Linked DNA regions of Caenorhabditis elegans. The protein of the gene in region 1 purifies or fractionates together with the protein of each later gene. This does not show direct contact. Each region holds a gene or a part of one and is shown on either strand. Other genes may lie near its edges.

The links. Proteins that work in one complex are often made in the same cells at the same time.
Region 2: the proteins of nhr-37 (region 1) and fcp-1 fractionate together in Caenorhabditis elegans (co-fractionation; one large-scale study listed by BioGRID). This does not show direct contact.
Region 3: the proteins of nhr-37 (region 1) and K04C2.2 fractionate together in Caenorhabditis elegans (co-fractionation; one large-scale study listed by BioGRID). This does not show direct contact.

Annotation. Positions count from the first base shown.
Region 1 is NC_003283.11:6,620,391-6,625,312, forward strand, and holds nhr-37 (Nuclear Hormone Receptor family), read left to right. Parts: upstream 1-1,803; 5' UTR 1,804-1,877; coding exon 1,878-2,047; intron 2,048-2,096; coding exon 2,097-2,155; intron 2,156-2,749; coding exon 2,750-2,811; intron 2,812-2,863; coding exon 2,864-3,058; exon of another isoform or gene 3,059-3,065; intron 3,066-3,111; coding exon 3,112-3,417; intron 3,418-3,464; coding exon 3,465-3,559; intron 3,560-3,805; coding exon 3,806-3,921; intron 3,922-3,968; coding exon 3,969-4,120; intron 4,121-4,168; coding exon 4,169-4,267; 3' UTR 4,268-4,386; downstream 4,387-4,922. Other genes in the region: ppt-1 (Palmitoyl-protein thioesterase 1), read right to left, coding at 4,387-4,584, 4,797-4,895.
Region 2 is NC_003279.8:9,003,990-9,010,512, reverse strand, and holds fcp-1 (RNA polymerase II subunit A C-terminal domain phosphatase), read left to right. Parts: upstream 1-1,804; coding exon 1,805-2,002; intron 2,003-2,047; coding exon 2,048-2,224; intron 2,225-2,575; coding exon 2,576-2,704; intron 2,705-3,175; coding exon 3,176-3,418; intron 3,419-3,833; coding exon 3,834-4,121; intron 4,122-4,210; coding exon 4,211-4,398; intron 4,399-4,442; coding exon 4,443-4,914; intron 4,915-4,958; coding exon 4,959-5,087; intron 5,088-5,355; coding exon 5,356-5,511; 3' UTR 5,512-6,000; downstream 6,001-6,523. Other genes in the region: rbpl-1 (E3 ubiquitin-protein ligase RBBP6), read left to right, coding at 1-446, 567-992, 1,062-1,127, 1,173-1,253. UniProt on the Caenorhabditis elegans protein: During the late stages of oogenesis, dephosphorylates 'Ser-5' of the heptad repeats YSPTSPS in the C-terminal domain of the largest RNA polymerase II subunit ama-1.
Region 3 is NC_003281.10:6,888,155-6,895,612, forward strand, and holds K04C2.2 (DNA polymerase V), read left to right. Parts: upstream 1-1,619; 5' UTR 1,620-1,620; coding exon 1,621-1,722; intron 1,723-1,774; coding exon 1,775-1,966; intron 1,967-2,012; coding exon 2,013-2,213; intron 2,214-2,269; coding exon 2,270-2,461; intron 2,462-2,505; coding exon 2,506-2,593; intron 2,594-2,640; coding exon 2,641-2,831; intron 2,832-2,836; exon of another isoform or gene 2,837-2,889; coding exon of another isoform or gene 2,890-2,975; intron 2,976-3,028; coding exon of another isoform or gene 3,029-3,148; intron 3,149-3,329; coding exon of another isoform or gene 3,330-3,450; exon of another isoform or gene 3,451-3,506; intron 3,507-3,929; coding exon 3,930-4,106; intron 4,107-4,152; coding exon 4,153-4,317; intron 4,318-4,362; coding exon 4,363-4,502; intron 4,503-4,547; coding exon 4,548-4,812; intron 4,813-4,868; coding exon 4,869-5,036; intron 5,037-5,082; coding exon 5,083-5,355; intron 5,356-5,406; coding exon 5,407-5,511; intron 5,512-5,562; coding exon 5,563-5,892; intron 5,893-5,937; coding exon 5,938-6,078; intron 6,079-6,492; and 5 more. Other genes in the region: brd-1 (BRCA1-associated RING domain protein 1), read right to left, coding at 1-83, 137-314, 363-422, 740-915, 959-1,127, 1,177-1,236, 1,280-1,341; K04C2.5 (INSulin related), read right to left, coding at 2,890-2,975, 3,029-3,148, 3,330-3,450.

The DNA.
Region 1 (4,922 bases):
TAGTACAACCGAGATATGAGCCGTCAAAGTAAAGCAATTGGGGTACAAATCCAGTAGGGAAAATATGGTAGACTTGTTAACTTGAAATTAGTCTTCAGTTTATGTACTATAGGACTAAACTTATTTGTATTTATTTTTTTTTAACTTGAGGGAATAGTTTTCCTTGACATGCATACTTAATAAAGCGGTGAATTGAATTTATATGAATAACATTGTTGTACTAGTTGTTACTTTGATGCTACTTTTGCAAATTGACAAAATATCATGATATCTCGGAAAATATGCGAACTACATATTTGGCAAATTTATTACTCATCGGGTAAGAAAATCGGAGAAAACATATCTGATGTCTATCAACTGATCTAAATGAATAGAAAAATGATTGTTCCCAATTGAATCAGTCTAGATCAGGAACTTTTGAAACATATATACAGTTATATGCCCTAAAAATGAACAACTTTCCCCGTCAACAGACACAATATTTTTCTCTTTTTCTGGTCTCCATGTCCTATTTCATGAGTCAAGTGTTGTAGAGGGCGACGATAAGACATCGGGCCCAAACGCATTAACGAATCATCTTGCGGGTCGGGAGGCGGGATCTGTCAAAAGTTTGCAGCGTTTGGCAAAGGTTCGAGGCTGGCAATGAAGATGCAAGGATGGTGGACGGCTACCTGCAGATGACAGTCTATCGGAGACGCAGACTAATCAGATGACATTAGTCTTTTGAAAGTTTTGCGGAAGTCCAATTCGGCGAACACAGGTCGCGTGTGAATCGATGCTCGTAGACCGAGTAGCAATTGACAGCTAGAGATTGACAATTTATGAAGAGACGCAGACAGATGTGAACATAGAAACGACAAAAGACATACATGTTTCGAATTAGATGGACAAGATCGGTTGCCTCTATATAAAGTAGCTCAACGTATTTTATCCAAAATTCTAAATCGGTCACTATCAATCTAGCAATTCTAAAATGTTTTTGTTTCTGATTTTCCGCAATTCCATCGAAGTTACAATTTTGACTTAAAATTTTCTATCACAAATCATGTACCAATGTGTGCACTTTTAAAAAAATTGTACAATGTATGTAGCAGTAATCAGAAGGGGATTGTTTTCCTATAAAATTCAAGAAAACCCAAAATTCTCACATTCCGAAAATCTTTTTTTTCTGACTTTTTTCCTTTTTGGTTCATCGAACATAAAAACATTTTGAAACAAATTTTTGAGGTGGTCTTTTCAAGTGGAAAGTAAATTCAAAATCTTTTATCATCAGATCGAATATGAAATTTCTGAGTTTTCTATTTTAAGAACTTTCAGTATCTATAGTATCCCTAGGCACATTTTTAAAACGTTTCATACAACTCCAGCTAAAGTTTTCTGAAAATACGGTTAGCCAAATTCACCACTTCATCCTGATAATTGTCATTATGCTTTTCCTTCCACTACAACTAGACTATCTCTTTTCGGAAGGGGGTGAGATTTTAATTGTTTGTCTGAGATTCCTACGTCTTCGACCAGCGTAACGATCAGAGAACATGCCGACATGACGTCTTCCCCCAGCCGAAAATGTCTCTCTTCTGATCTTGCCTTACATGTGAAGAAAAGTACCAAAAAATTGCTGTGATAACTTTGTGATTTGAGGCTGGGTTTTCAGTCTCAAAATTTGACATGTAGGTACGTTCATTTTTCCTTCAAGTTTCCCTCTTTTTTTTTCTCAAATATAAACCCTTTTCGGTGGTCACTTGATCTTTTCCTCTCCTCTCTACGTTTTTCATTTCTCTAATAACATATCTGGTAGAGATCTCTTAGAATGACAACACCCAATTTGCATATTACAAAATGATGATCACACTTTTTTTCCTTCTCAGAATCTAAAAATGGTACCTGACAAGTCATGCTTGGTTTGCAAAAAAGCTTCAAATGGAATGCATTTCGGTGCACTCACCTGCCGAGCGTGCGCCGCATTCTTTCGAAGGGCTACTGTACTGAAATTACAGTATAAATGTAAGCAGGGGAATTCAAAATGCAATATTGATGGTCGTGGAAGGTGAGTTACTATAGTCTTCAAAATCAGAAAATTCACGTTTTGTTTATAGATATGTCTGCCGGCAGTGTCGTCTGACAAAGTGCAAAGCAATCGGGATGAATGAAGAGAGTATGTTTTTTTTTCCAAAAAAATAAAAACTTGCAAGATTTTCAAGTGCATATCGTGCACATCAAAAAATTTTACATCAAAAGTTTTTGTGAAAAATTGTTGCGAAAATTGGTTTGACAAATTTTCAAAAACTTCATGTGAATAGGTTTTGTGGAATACGCAGAAAAATAATTTTTTCTGAAAAATAAAAAATCCTAACAAAATTTCTAGATCATCTCTATGTTTGATTTTTACTCTTTAGGCTTAGAAAGGATTTTTTCCGAAGTCCGAAAATTACAAAAATATTCCAAAGGTTTTTTTTATAGCTTAAATAATTTCAAAATGAGGGCATTAAATACAAAAGTGCCCTATTTCCTTTTTTTACATAATGTTGAATTTTGAAAATTGCTAAAAATCACCACTCATTTTTGCTAGTGGTGAAATAACTAAATCCTTTCCAAAACACAAATAAAATTTCAATTACTGTCAAAAATTTTGCTGCCATTCTTTTGGAATTTAACCAAAAGCGTTTTTTTCTGCAAATTTTACAGAGTCCAATTATTTTTCTCTTCTTTTTTTCTCTTCTTTTTCTAGTAAAATATACTCATTTTTCAGAAGTTCAATTGGACTATGACCCAACGTACTCGTTTCGCGGTTTGATGGAGGATAGTGGAAGTGTGAGTTTTGTTTTTTAAATTAAAAACAATTATTTTATTTACTACATTTCAGGACGAATTCTCTACGCCAAATGGAAGCCCAGCTCAATCTGATTACAGCCCGACCAACTTGAGCCGGAAGAACTCGGTGGAGTCACCTGGAATTGATCCGAACTTTTTGTTCACCTTCTCGCCAAAAACACCGGATAAGCCGAACATGGTTATCAGTTTTAATGACTTGGTGAAGAAAATTGAAACGTCATTTTCGGTAAGTTGAAGCGAAAAACATTGAAAGTGAAAATTTTGTTATTTTATGTTCAGCATAAAACAAAAGGCGACGATTGTGAACTGACTACTTTGACGTCTGCATTGAAAAAGTTTAGGAAAAATCAAAAAGCTCAAAGTCAAATCTCTTTTCTTGACAAAGTCGAGCTGAAATCTGCTATTGATTGGCTCAATGATCGAATCTATATGTACTCTTGTTGGTTTTCCTCTTCAAAATCTTTAATGTCTCTACCCATGGATCAAAAAATGCAGCTCTTCCGATCTTCTTGGAATGTCGTTAGAACATTTGAGCGCCTAGAAATGTCTGTCAAGATTTTTGAAGAAGGAGTCATTCGAGGAGGAGTGAGAATAGTTTTTAATTATTTTTAAAAATATCAACTGTTTTTCAGTATATACTTATCAATGATGATCTCGCAATGAAATTGGAATCAACTCATATTGACTTTGCCTCGATAACTGATCTCACGAATCAATATTTCAACAAGTGAGTTTTCTGTTTCAAAAACTTTGAAATGCCCACAATTCGCTGATTGAAATTTGTCAATGTTCTGAAAAGCCTACTCAAAGTTGCGTTGGTTTTAGGATCACATTTTGATACAGCATTTTCTTTACTATAAAATTAATTGAAATACTGAAAATTCAACAAAACAATTTTTGCCGCTATGTCGAGAAAGATATAATGATGAAAAATCTTTGAACATTTTTATATTTGTATTTTTGTAATTTTCAGACTATTCGAACCCTTCCTACACCGTTACATAGATGAAGTTGCAAGGCCACTTCTTGATCTCAAGCCAACTACGGAAGAAGTCGTTTTTTGTATGGTTCACCTTATTGGACTTGAAGGTAAAAAAAAAAAACATCAATCAAATTTTTATTAACTTTAATTTTAGAAGGTGATCTTTCTCATGAAACACGAGAAGCTTGCGAACAAATGCGAGCAGAAATTGCTGACCAAATGCACGTTTATTATACAAATCGGACGGATATCAAAATGTATTCTCATCGGCTTCTGATTCTTATGAAACTGGTCAAATCCATGAAGGTTTGCCAAATTTTTTTTTAAGTTTTCTGATTTTCCCCCTATTTTTAGAGAATCTCTCGTGAGAAATCAAAGATCAAGGAGCTCTTCTGGCTTTTTGACATCTTTCATGCCGAAATCTCGGAGCCGTATTTTTTCGAGATGTTTTAGAAAATGATGGGAACCCAAATCAAGAAAATGCTCACACAACCAGTCATGATAATTTCATAATTCATTTTTACGTACGAGTTTTACAATACGAGTTGTTTCTTTTTGAAAATCAAACAAGTTCACATAAAATATTTTTTGATAATATCGTTGACAAGCACACTTCTTGGAATTTGCAAGTGATCTCCATCCACGTCCATAAAATGGATTCGTCCACTCTCATGAAGCTTCTTCAATCCAATACGATCCTCTTTGTACAGGTCGGTTTCGTTCATTGGGAGAATTGTGTCAATATCACCGTCTTTGTAGAACCCGAACCACTGGAATAAATTATTGAGACTTTATAAAATATTTCAGCGTGAGAACCGTGACAGGTGGTACAAAATGTCTGTTGCCTGTGTGGCTCTTTGTACCCATTAGAATGAGAATACTCGGGAAAACTCCGGCCTGCATTAACAAGCTTTTGGCGACCCTCGCCTATAGGCGACTATAGTCTACTTTCGGAAACTGCAAAACAAAAAAAACCACTCACAGATGAATCCTTTGGTACAACCATATGATCTTGATTGAATTTCACCAGAACCAGGTTTTTGAGACTCAATAAGTTGCGTTTGTAAGTCGGGTTGTTATTCTGAAACAAAAATACTTTTTTTTTCAA
Region 2 (6,523 bases), on another chromosome or scaffold:
AGGAACGAAAACGGAAGAAGCACAAGAAGCACAAAAAAGAGAAAAAGTCAAAGAAGGAGAAGAGAGATGAGGATGAGGATGATCTTGATACCGAAAAGAAAGAAAAAAAGAAGGAAAGAAAGTATCAGGATGATAAAGATGAGGATTCTAATAGAAAAGAGCCAAGATCTCTAGATGATGAGGACAAAGTGGAGTTGGACAAAAATTTTGCTGACAAAAAAGAAAAGAAGAAAGGAAAATGGAATGAGGATGAAGAGGACATCTTCGAGGATAGAAAAGAGGAGCTTCCTAAGGAATCCGATCGGAGAGACAGGAAAGACCGTAGACATGATGATGAGGATGATCGTAAGGAACGTCGGCATGAAAGAGATTCTCAAAAAATTGATGAGCAAGATAGAAAGAAAGAGAGAAAGCGAGATCGAGAGACCGAGGCATATGACAGTGATGTAAGTTTTGGTTTATTCTTATTTTTAGATTAGTTGTTTTAATTGTTGATTGTTTTGAGGAAAAATTTAGCAATCAGAAATCATCTTCCGGGTTTAGGAAAAATGAACAAATTTTTATAGAAATTGCAGGCCCCCAAGACAAAGGTGAAGCGTGAAGACAAGAAGCGTGACGATCGGAAAGATTATGAACGGGACAGGGAACGCAGGAAGGATGACTATGAAAAGGAGAAGAGTAAAAGAAAGGAGAGTGATCGGGATAATGAAAAAGAGAAACAACGCGAGAAGGAAGTGGAAAAGGAACACGAGAAGGATCGCAAAGAGAAGCGGAAAATCGTTGAGAAAGAGTCTGAGAAACCACGAAAATCGGTTCATGAGCGTATGCAGAAAGCTGACTCATCCACTTCTTCAAGCTCTAGAACTACTACTGCTCCATCACTTGAACGAAAACCTGTCTCGTTTACTGTTGCTTCGAGCAAACCAACGACAAACATCAGAGTTCGTCAATACTCGTCCTCATCATCAACCAAGGAACAAGAAGATGAAGAAGTACGTTTTATTCACAAATATTTCACTAAAATTCAATTAATCAAAAAATATATAATTTAAAAATTTTAGCGGTCGAAGCGGGATCGCCGGAAGAAGGACGAAACTGACGTGGAGAGCATTGGGGAAAAGGAGAAGGTAATTTTTGTTGTTTTTGAAGAATTTTAATCTTAGATATTTCAGAAATCTTCGTCTCGAAAAGTTCCAAAGGAGAGTGTAGATGTCAAACACAAGAGTACCAAGATTAAATTTGATCTTTTGTAATCATTTTTGTATCTATATTTGAGTTATTAATTATGTTCCATCCTATTATTCGTTTTTCTCATATTCCCCCCTATTTTTCTAGTTCTTCTTAGAGGGAACCACATCTACTGTGACTTTGATTCTCTTTTTTCACCATTATTTTTTTTTTCTAAAAACGCTTCCATTTTTATTCATTTTTCGTCCCATCTGTGGAATTATTCTGTTTTTTTTTCACTTTTCTTGTTCCTGTTGGAATAAAAATTCCGTTTTATTTTTACTCTATTTTTACCTTTTTTCTTATTTTTATCCCAAAATTTCTCGGTCCTGAATTTGCCGCAAATAATATCAGAATGGCTAATTTTACAGATTCGATTTCAAAAAAAGCGCCGAAATTAACCTTTTGGTAATAAAATCGAAAATTGAAAAAAAAGTTTTGGAGAGAATGCGTACATATGTATTTTAGATGATGAACACAAAATTGTTGAAAAATTTTACTTTTAAATAACATTTAATAATTCAATAACAGTCGAATTTGATATCTTAATTGAAAAGATATAAATATTCTTTTCCAGATGGATATTAAATTTGAAGGAAACGATGCCGAGTGCACAGCTGGCCTGAAAAAGGCCAGTGAAGGAAGTTTTGTATTGAAAGATCACGTTCTGATAGAATTCAAAATCAACGGAAAAGTGGCGGGAAAGATAAAGACACCATGTGAGGGTGTAGTTACTTTTGGAAAAGGTCTTAAACCAGGAATCGTATTGAATAAGGTAAATTGAAATTATTTATTCAATTGAAACTGTTTTCATTTTCAGGGTCAAGTGATTGCTACAGTATCCGAATGTACTCATGCAATTGTTATCAAAGATATGTGTGCAACATGTGGTAAAGATCTACGTGAAAAGGGAGGACGAGCCGGTCAGAGAAAGGAACAATCAACGGCTAATGTATCTATGATTCATCATGTTCCAGAACTTATTGTGTCGGATACGGTTAGCATCATTTTTATTACCCGGATGCGGCGATTTTTTCAATAAAAATACGGTAACCGGTCTCGCAAAACGTTGTGCGCCTTTAAATAGCTAATGCAGAATTTTCATCGTTTTTCGAAAGTTAATTAAAACTTTAAAATAAAGCAAGTTTAAACTATTTTTAAGTAAAGTATACGATTTTGAGAAAAATAGAAAACTTCATGAAAATCCCATAATATTACAGTTCTTTTTAAAGACGAACATATTTTTGCATTTATCAAAAATTGTCGTGTTGAGACCGTGAACCGCATTTTTGGCTCAAAAATTCGCCTACTAGGCAAATAATATTTCGATAAAAAACTTTTTTTTCAGCTAGCAAAAGAGATTGGATCAGCCGATGAAAACAATCTGATCACCAATAGAAAACTCGTATTGCTTGTTGATTTGGATCAGACAATTATTCACACTTCCGACAAACCAATGACTGTGGATACTGAAAATGTAAGAATCAATAGTTTTGACGAAAAAAAAGTTTTTTTTCAGTTTTTCTCAGAGAAAACTGAAAAATTGAAAAAAAATGTTCCGAAAATTAGCAAAAAATTAAAACACAAATTTAACGAATTTTGGTCGTGTCGATGAAAACAAATAATTTCAAACAACCATATAATTTTCTTCTAGAAAAAAAATGGCCAAAATGTAAAGCCATTTTTCGAAAAAAAAAACACTTTTCAGAAAATTAATAAAGATTTCAAAAAAAATTTCTCATCGAGCTTCTATGTAAATGATAAAGTTAGAAAAGCATAATTTTCTTATCGTAATAAGAAAAATCGACAAAAACTTTAAATTATTTTCCGAGAAACCTTTTTTCTAATTTAATTTTGGTACAAAAAAATTGTGTTTTTTGATTTTCTAAAATTATCGAAAAATTGTCACTCTTGATAGGAATACTCATATATTTTCTATAAATTTCAGCACAAAGACATCACCAAATATAACCTTCACTCTCGTGTTTATACCACTAAACTCCGACCACATACAACAGAATTCTTGAATAAAATGTCAAATATGTATGAAATGCACATTGTTACCTATGGACAACGTCAATATGCTCATCGTATTGCTCAGATTCTTGATCCAGATGCTCGACTCTTTGAACAACGCATTTTGTCTCGAGATGAACTATTCTCGGCTCAACACAAGACCAATAATTTGAAGGTATAATTTTTAAAAATTAAAAATAAAAATAATTTCAAACTCCAATGGAGTTTGCCCAAAATTCGCAAAAATCACGAAAAAAGCGAAAAACTAAAAACTATAATTTTAAAGTCATTTAAAAGTTTTTTACAAATTCTTCGTTTTTTTGCTCTTTAATATAAAAAAACGGAAAGTACATTTTTTGTCAAAAAAAAACACCATTTTTTTTAAAGCGAAAAACAAGAAATCTTCAGCCCTGAAAACATGAAACTCGTAGAAAATATTAATCGATCAGAATTGTGATGAATGAAAAATGAGTTTTCATCAATTTTTCGACTGTTAATGAAAATTTCAAATTTTTAAAAAGTGTTACCATGAAATTTGGTTTTTTTTTAACATCATAGAATAAGTGTTAAACACAACAATTTTTATTCAGGCTCTATTCCCATGTGGCGACAATCTTGTAGTGATTATTGATGATCGATCAGATGTCTGGATGTATTCTGAAGCACTTATTCAAATCAAACCTTATCGATTCTTCAAAGAAGTCGGCGACATTAATGCTCCAAAAAACTCAAAAGAACAAATGCCAGTTCAAATTGAAGATGATGCTCATGAGGATAAGGTTCTTGAAGAAATTGAGCGAGTTTTAACGAATATTCATGATAAATATTATGAAAAGCACGATTTAAGAGGATCCGAGGAAGTGTTGCTTGATGTAAAGGTAAATTTTCATTTTAAATATTTAGTTATTGAATTATTATTCTAAGTTGAATATTTAAGTCTTTTGGACTTCTAGAAGTTGATTTTCAGGAAGTGATCAAAGAGGAACGACACAAAGTTCTTGATGGATGTGTCATTGTTTTTTCGGGAATCGTACCAATGGGTGAAAAGCTTGAAAGAACTGATATTTATCGTTTGTGTACTCAATTTGGAGCAGTTATTGTACCAGATGTGACTGATGATGTTACTCATGTTGTTGGAGCAAGATATGGAACACAGTTAGTTTTATCATTTTAGCATTTTAAAATTCTTTTATTTTCAGAAAAGTTTATCAAGCCAATCGTCTCAATAAGTTTGTGGTCACAGTTCAATGGGTATATGCTTGTGTCGAAAAGTGGCTTAAAGCAGATGAAAATCTGTTTCAACTAACAAAAGAAAGTACTCCTCCAGTTGGACGTCCACTTGGATCAAAGTATGTCAATGATTTGGCAAATATGGACACAATTGGGAAAGCCGCGTTAGCTGATATGAATAATGAAGTAGATGAAGCTCTATCGGATGATGAAGACGATGGAGACAATGAGGATGAGGATGATGATGGGAATGATGTTGGAGAAGATAAGGGAGATGAAAATTTAGAAGAGAAACAAGAGAAAAATGAAGAAGAAATGGATGATGTTGAGCAGAATGGATCTGTTGAGAATCAATCAGGAGATGCTTTGGAAAACGAGACAGATTCTACATCAAGGGGACAGAAAAGAAAGCATTGTCCTGAAATGGAGGACGAGGAAGAGGTAAGAAACTTGAAAATAATTTATTCCAATAATATTTATTTCAGGAATCAGATTCTGATAATGAGGATGACGATACCCCTATGTCGTACAAAGCACTTTTGTCAGATTCACGCAAAAAAGGTCGAATTGTTCCAGAAAACGAGGATGATGCAGTATTTGATGTTGATGATGAGGTAAAAAGGGCGGCAAGTATAAAAAATTGAAAATAAAACGGAAAGTTTTGAATTTATAGTGGCTAAAATTAATAGTAGTGAATTTTTTGAAAAAAGTTAAATTTTGGCTTCTTGAGCTTAAAAATATCAATCCAAATCGTTCCAGTGTCTAGAATTTATCGAAAAATACGACATTTTATCGATATTAAACAAAAATTCAAAGAAACACGTGAATCATTATTCCTGCTTGGGAGATCAAAAGTGTTTTGAAAAAAAAAGACTTTTACAGAAAGGCCACGCACCAGCTAATATAGATGAAGAAGAAGATGACGAAGACAATGAAGATGAGGAAGTACCGGAATCTGATGATGACGATGAGTTCGAGGATATGGCTGCATTGATCGAACGTCAGATTAGCGATGCAGTAGATGAAAAAGATCAATGAGTTTTCTGTGAAATCATCATGTGCTATTATTGTTTTCATTTCCTATTATTCTTTCAGTTGTTTCCCATCTTTTACATCTCATAATTATCACCCCCGTTCCCCATTTGATTCGATACTCAATGTTTTCTGTACTATTTACCTCCATTTAAATGGGAATAATCTGACAATTAATGTCGGCTGCTTGATCAGAGTGATTTTCATCAAATCAATCAAAACTTCACTAGAAGCCTGCATTTTTGTCATATATAAACGTTCACGGTTTGGAATATAGATTGCTTTTTATTCACTTATCTTTTGCCTTTTGATTGTAAATTCAAGAAAAGTCTGTCACTATGGAGTTATTCATCTTTCGATTGCTTACTTAAATACCTCTATTTTCATTTTATCGAATTAATTTTTTTTTCTAAATCGCGTCATTGTCTCATTTCTTCTCTCGTTTCACGTTGATCGTTATTATTTTTTTCTGAAAATGAATGAGATTCATTTCTATTTTTCTTGCTGACGCTTTCGCAATGCCGTTTGATTCGGAAGTATGATTTATTTTTTTCGAATTATAGGATTAATGTATAGTATTTGTTACGCGAGACCAAAAAAAGTTTCATGTAACAAATGTAGTACAATGTTTACATTTCCACAAAAATCAATAATTTACAATTTGTATACAATTCAATGTGGTCTTATATTACACAATCAATCGTTTCAACAACACGTTTTGCCGAACTGGATTTTTATCGATCTTTTACTATTTCCTTATTATTAAAAGTTATTAAAAGCTATATATTCGCAAAAAGTTTTGAAAAAAATTGGTAGAGTGATTAGCTATTGAAAAAACTTATTTCATTTCCTTTTAGTGACTAGTTTATTTACCATTGCAGTGAAAGTTTATGAAAAAAGTATTTACTTTTCTCTTTTGAAAAGAAATATTTTCTCGCATTTTTTGTCTATAGAGCATTTTTGCACACACGCGCACTAAGCGCCTTTTTTGTATGTATTTTCAGCGGTTTTTATCGAT
Region 3 (7,458 bases), on another chromosome or scaffold:
TCGGCTTTAACTGGATTACTGCTACTTCCGAAAGCTTGAGCATACGTTGCAACACCAGTTGCTGCTGGAGCAGTTGAGCGACGCTGAAGAATTTCCGTTAAAGTTCTGAAGCGTCTTTAAAGTGAAATTGTCATACCTCAATAAACGGCGTCAGTAAATCATTTTGATGAGTTCTCTGCGGAACTTGCGATGCAAAAAGATCAACTACAGGCGCAGCCGGTTCATTTTTGACGGAAGTTTTCAGTATCGATGACCTTTTGGGTTTTCTCTCATGAACACTGACAGTTGAAGGGCGTTTTGTCGAATTACGCGTTCTAAAAGTAAATAAAATTCAATTAATTGAAGCAATGTAACAAACTCACGGAGAAGCTTCTTTGCTGTAGTCGTGGAATATATCCAATTCTGGAGAGTTTGAATTTTCCCTGAATTTACTGGGAAAATATGAAAAAAAGTTCTGCGTTCGGGGGGAATCGAACCCCCGTCGAATGCTTGGAAGGCATCCATGCTGACCATTACACCACGAACGCGGCATGGGAAACCAGCTATTAAATGAAGAGACATTTCTACTTGAAGCCACCAAATAGACCGCATCAGGTTTGTAGAAGAAGCATGACGGGAATCGTTTTCTCGGAAAGATATCCCCGATATGTCGCGTTCGTGGTGTAATGGTCAGCATGGATGCCTTCCAAGCATTCGACGGGGGTTCGATTCCCCCCGAACGCAGATTTTTTCGACTTACCGGTTTTCATCTTTACACATCAAATCATCATCCTCTTCACCAAGTTGTCCCATCTCGTCTGGCATATGAGCTTGCGTCTCCAGGAATTTCTCTACGGCATCAGCTGGAGTTTTTTCTTTGTTAAAAATGTTTTGTGTACAGGCAAACTCTGCTTGAGTTAGAGATGTTGTTCCGACCTAAATGAGAATTTAATTTTCGAGCTTTTCACCATTGACTTACTTTCTGTAAAAGGTCGTTTAGTTCAGACAAAGTATCAAAGCACGTTTTCAGCATATGAGCTTCTGTGATTTTGGATGTGTCTAGTGGGAAAGCACAACTCGGACACATGTGTCGAGCCACTGAAGAGCGTTTTCCAGACGGTTTCTGTTGAAATGTGGCGATACATTCCCTGAACATAAACTGAAGTTATTGACAATTTATTAGGTTGCAATACCTACCAGCAATAAGCATGTTTGCAAGATGATCCGAGATATTGCAAGTCTCCCCTCGGTTTTTTGCTGAAATTTTATTTAAGAGGCAAAATCTTGTACAACAACTTACCATTTAACACACTCGATAGCTGTTCGAAACGTTTCCAATGCTTTTTTAGTGTTTTCAAACATTATTTGACGCTGAAACAATAATTAAATCAAACAGGAAAAGAATAAAATTCGAAAATCGCACTTGTTTGTTTGCGCGTCAGGTGTGGTGCGTGCGCACAGAATACATTTTATTTTACGAACAAAATATTTTACTTCTATTTCTTTTTCTTTCATTAAACTAAAATTACATTTATTTTTTGTGTTTTATAGAAAAATACAGTTTACTTGGTCTGGAAAATTCACGAGAATGATCCTCTCGTCAATTTATTCTCTTTTTAATTATAATTTTAAGTTTTAAGCATGAGACCGCCAAGTGAATTACTCGATATTATTTCAAAGCTTGCTGAGCTCGATCCATTAGTCAGAAAAGGAGCAGTTAGACAGCTTTCAAGCAAACAAGAGGTAGGAAAAAAGTAGCTGAAATAAATGCCTAATTAAAGTGTTATTTTTTTAGGAATTATCCGATAACGAGCTCAACACATATGTGATTGAACGTCTTATTTCTGGATGTGCTTCAGCTCGTGCTGCTGTTCGTTTGGGATATACAACCGCTTTGGGTACTATTTTAATGACAAAAGCAGGCGAATCATGGGAACTCGACAAAATATTGGCCGTTGCAGATAAAAAGATGGACCTGGCAGAAAAGGTTGGGATTGTAAGTTCCTTTATTTGTACTAAATGTTTCGATTCAGACTGTTGGTACCGGACATGCAATTGGACATTATCTTATTCTTGTCACATATTGTCAAACCAGAAAACTCAAAGAAGCAGAAGCTACAAAAATTGTTGAGCATTCGAAGAAAATCAGAGACTTTGCTCCAAGCTTGGCATTTTCACAGATTAACCTTCTATGCAGTTTGGCTACAAAGACAAAAGAAAGTGTTTTCCAAAAGGTAAATCAATTTACTGTTTGAACAAAAACAAATCTATATTAATTTTTAAATTTCAGAGTGTATCCCCAGCCATCGAAATGAATTTGGAAGGTCTCAGCTCTCAGTTCACACCGGAAAATGTCTACCTGGCACTTCGCCTTCGTAATTCTCATTCAACAGTGGTTGCAAAATACGCAAAGTTTGTAAAGAAAGACGGATCTATTCAATTTTCTGATGATCAGTATCCTAAAATTTTGGCTGCTTTAAAGGTTAGTTTTCTATTTTAAAATTTTTATAAATACTTTATTTTCAGCGCTGTGACTTCGCCACAGTTCAAGTATTTCTTCCACTTCTCATCAAAGCATCAGTTGAATCATCTGGTTTTGATAAAATGTACCTGAGTAAGTTATACTTTTGAAAAGTTTTTTTTATAAATTCTCATTTTCAGAAGTTCTCGAGCCATGGGCCCTTTCAAGCAACGAGACGAAAGTTTTCGATAGAATTCTCACGATTGTCACTCAATTCTTTGATTTTGGAGGCGATGTGAAATCAATTGTTGTAGTATTTACTAAAGAAGTTTTGAATCGAATGGAGACCGCTACACGTGGAAAAGGACAATTCAGATTGATGAGTAAAAAGGTAATATTCAAGAGTCTTTATTGTTCAAATTTACAAAAATTAGTGAGATAGAAATTATCTAAAGGTAAACTGGCTTTTGTGATCGAATATGTCTCTGAATTTGTTTGATTGCTTTTCGGAGAAGAGCCTGGCAATCTTCCGGTACTGAAAAAAGATTTTTTAAAACTCAAGCTTTCTTCTAAACATCGAAAACATACATTTCTTGCATTGTTGTGTAAGTTCCTCATTTTCCACACAATATTCGGATGTTATTTCACACTCGATAGAACATAAATCGAGTACAGGAAGCCAGACAGCATCAGAAAATGGATCACCGCCTGTAAAAAAAGTGTTGGAACAATATTTAATTTCTTGTATCTTAAAAATGTATGCTGGTAAATTATGAAGAATTAATTCAGAAATCGTTTACAACATTTCTGAAATATACTATAAGATTATTCTTTTGTGTTATTACATAATACAGATTAAATTTGAATTTAAATTGATTTTCTAACTTACATAATTTAGAGTTATGAAACAAAAACTGTGAAACCGATTCGTACTGAATCCGCCTTTTAGACGCTTGTCCATTGATTGCCGCGATCAGAAAAATTCCGATAATAATTGAGCATTTTGTCATTTTGAGTTCCAAATTTAGTATTGCCAAAGTGATGAAAAACTAATACGTAGTTCAACAAAAAGATGAGAAATAGATGAAAGAAAGAAGAAAAAGAAGAAGCATTGTTCATTGAATACCACAATGAACTGTGTAAAGTAACGGGATTCTGGGTGTAATACAGATAGTTCTTTCTATAAGATGATGACACATTAACGACGACCTCATTATATCCATACATATTGTTTTATTTGGATTACGAGTTAGATTTAGAATGTTAGATTTATGAGAGATTGCAGCGATATTTGAGAGACAGGAATGTTGAAAATTGATTATCATTCGAACTTTTTAACACGAAAATATTGAATAATATTATTAAAAGTATACATTCGAACAAAGATTTTAAACTAAAGAAAATTTCGATACTGGCTTAGCTAGGAAATTAAATTTACTTTTAACAACAAAAAAAAAACACATTTCAAAATAATATCTTCATTTTACAGGTGGATGACTTCGCTGCATTCATCCAATCCAAACTTTCTGAACTTCGTGATGAAGAAGCCTATACTGCTCTGAAAGAGCTCGAAAAGTGCGGAAATGTGGACAAGGCCTGTGGTACCGGCCTTACGACCGCCCTACTTTCAAATCTTGGAAAGAAGCAGATCTCTGTGTGGATTAAGGTAGAAAAAGAACTGACGGTTCAATTTCAGCATATAGATTTTTCAGGAAAATCTCTCCAACCAAGATGAAGTTCGGAAGATCGTCTCTGCATTCAGTAACTGGGATGAAAAATCACGAATCACAGTTCTCTCTGCTCTTTTGTCGCAGAAGGCAACTGAAACCAGTCAATCTGTTGTTACCAGCATTATTGATTCACTTTTCTATGTCAAGGTTTGTTCATTGTTTGTTTGAAGTTGAAGTAAAAAATTATTCCAGACTCGTGCTGGAGAGTTCGCATCGATTCAAATTTCTGAGAAAAACGAAGAGGTTCTCCGTCAACTTGTTGTTGCTGTTCAAGGAGAAGAAGAAGTAAAGAAAGCTGAGAAATCGATTGGAAAATCCAAACTTCGCAAGAAGTGAGAATTTAATATTAATTCATTTTCAAAGTTAATTTTTTTCAGGTCCCTTCAAATTCTATGGTATGTCACCCGCTTGTGGTCTCGAATCGCCGCGAGCTCTGTAGATTCTGCCGCCTACGATTCGGATAGCTCAGAAATCTTGGCAATCGCCAAAAACGAAGCAGATGGAAATAACTCACTGGTCTTTGTCGATCTTCTTCTTTCAATTCTGTCCCGCGAGCAAAAGTTCCATCGTACTCCAACTGCATTCGCTTTTGTTCATGCTATTCCTACATTGGAATCTAAAGATTTGTGTCATATTGTTGAGGTAAATTGGTTTTTGAAAAATCTAAATGTCTGAAAAATTTTATTTTGAAATTTCAGACTGCAATGATGAGTGAGGCTGAATTGGCTGGAAACGATGATGAGGATATGGAAGACGAGGAAGGAATGCCATTTGATGAATCTGAAATTCCATCTGGAAATGGAGACGATGAAGCAAGTGATTCGGATGATGATGATGAGGAAGAGGATGATGATGAAGGAAATGAGGTACATTCATTTTTCGTTTTGTAAATTTTACAATAAATATTTTTAGGCAGTTGATCAAGAACTTCTTGATAAATTGAATGCTGCTCTTGGAGATGCTGCTCCGAGAGATTCTAGCAGTGACGTGGAAATGGATGATTTAGATGATGAAGCAATGCAGAAAATGGATGAGAGACTCGCTGCCGCATTCAAAGCAATTGCTCCAAAAGCTGGAAAAGATAAGAAGCGTAGTGCAAAGAGTGTAGAAGCTCTGAAAATGAAAATTGCCGACCTTTTGCTCATCGCAATTTCATCAAAGGAGCTTGCTGAACAGAGCAAAATTGTAAGATTGGTATATAAGAGTTTCTAAGAATATTACTTAAATTTATTTCAGAAACTTGTCGTTCCACTCTTGAAATGGGCTAAAGTCGACGCAAAAACTCACGACAAGGTTGCTCAAAAAGTGTTAGAACTTGTAAACATTGTTGTGAAGATGAAGGTGAGAGCATATTTCAGTTGTGAAAAAATAGTTCTTAACAAATAATTTCAGTTTACTGATGTTTCCGAGAAAGATGCTCTTCAACTTCTGAAACAAGTTCTCGATGAGGCGCAGACAACTACAAATATTCTGATTATTGATACAGTAGCACGATGTGTCACTTTTGTGCTCAAGATTAGTTCTCGCGATGGAAAATCGATGTCAGCTGGTGTCAAAACAGAATTCCAATCACTTTTTGAAAATTATCTGAAGAATGTGGAAGGAAAGGTTCCATCGAATTTTGTCATTCAGCCAATCGCCGATCTTCCATTGCTGTTTGTTGATCAACTTGGAATGCTCATTGATGCCGGATTTGATGAGGAGAATCGAATTTTCAAAAGAGTACGTATTAAAAACACATTTTTATTTAATTTCTGTAAAATTTAGACTGAAATTCTCGGAGCCATTGCGATGATTTTCACGAAGCAAGTGCTCCAGGAGACGAATATCAAGGGTGCGATTATCAAGAAAATTGGAAAATTGGCCGCTGCTTACTTCCAGAAAGTTGTTGATTCTGATAAATCGGAGGTATGGCTTTCAAATATTAAAAAAAATTACCTGAATCACGGTACCCGAGCTAAATACTTTTCGCTTCTTTCGTTTTTTTTTTTGGCGAAAAATTAATTTTTCACTTTTTATTGAAAAAATAGCAAAAAACATCAACAAAAAATTGTTGAACGGTCAAAAAAAACTTTTTACGTAAAACTTTAAACGTTTTTTTTTTAAATTATAAACATGTTTCCAAAAAATTAACATCGAAATTTTAAGTATATTGCTTTATGGTTAAAACAATTAAAATTTCATTCGTTGTCGAAAAAAACCAACTTTTTGCTTTCTTCATTTTTCGGTTTCGAAAAAAATGTGTATTTTTTGGACTTTGACAATGCCAAAAGGAAAAACCAAACAAAGTATATAACTTTTGTAAATTTTCATCTTTTTCAGCTCAAACCACGCCTATTCGGAACTGTCCTTCAACTCATTCTCAAGGTCACAGTTTGCATTCAAAACGACGAGAAACACGTGGATGCACTCCGCGAATCTCTCGAATATGTCATTCAGAAGATGTTTGAAGGTGAAGTTTTCATTCAACTGAAAAAGATCAACCCGACCTGCCATCACGTAAGTTTTCAAATTGAACAGGCAGAATTTAAGTGCAATATTTCAGATCATCGGAAAGTCTATCGCTGGTGCATTCACCTCTATCAAGAAGAGCTTGGATATTGAAAATTAATATTTTTAGACAAAAAAATGCTCCCTCCACATTGTTATCTCATTTGTTGTTGTTGTTTTTTAATTGTTTTAATCAATTCCCTCTGTTCCCCTTGAAATGTTCTTCCAATTGTTGAATTTTAATGTTTTTTATTCAATTGAAATTGTTTTTTTTGAAGATTTAGTTCTTCCCAAATGACACAGCGAAGAAAACCTAAATGTTTCGAGGACTTTTGAAAATCCGTTTTTTCCTCCGATCAGTTTCCTCAATGATCAGCACACTGCGTCGCCACGATCTACACAGTCTCTAACTTTTGTTCTTTCTGCAAAAGTTACACTGATAAGAAACTCGTTGATGAAAGATAGTCTGTGTCTCATGCTCTCTCTTCAATGAGACGATTTTCGAAAGACACTTTCTCTGCGTCTCTTCGTCTTATATGATTTCTAGAAGCTAAATGTCTATCAAAGTCGTATCAGTTGTTTTCGGTCACTTTTTGAAAGTTTTTGAGAGACAGATCAAACGACGCAGAAGTTCTCTCAAAAGTTGGTGAAATAACGTGGAAGAATGAGAGAGTGGGAAAAGAAACAGGAATCATTGAACATTTCCGAGAAGATTACGGTAGAAGCTTCCGAACAAAGTTTGAATAAAGATGAATCTTTTTGATTGTCTTTTTTTAGCCATTAAAAAATGAATTATCC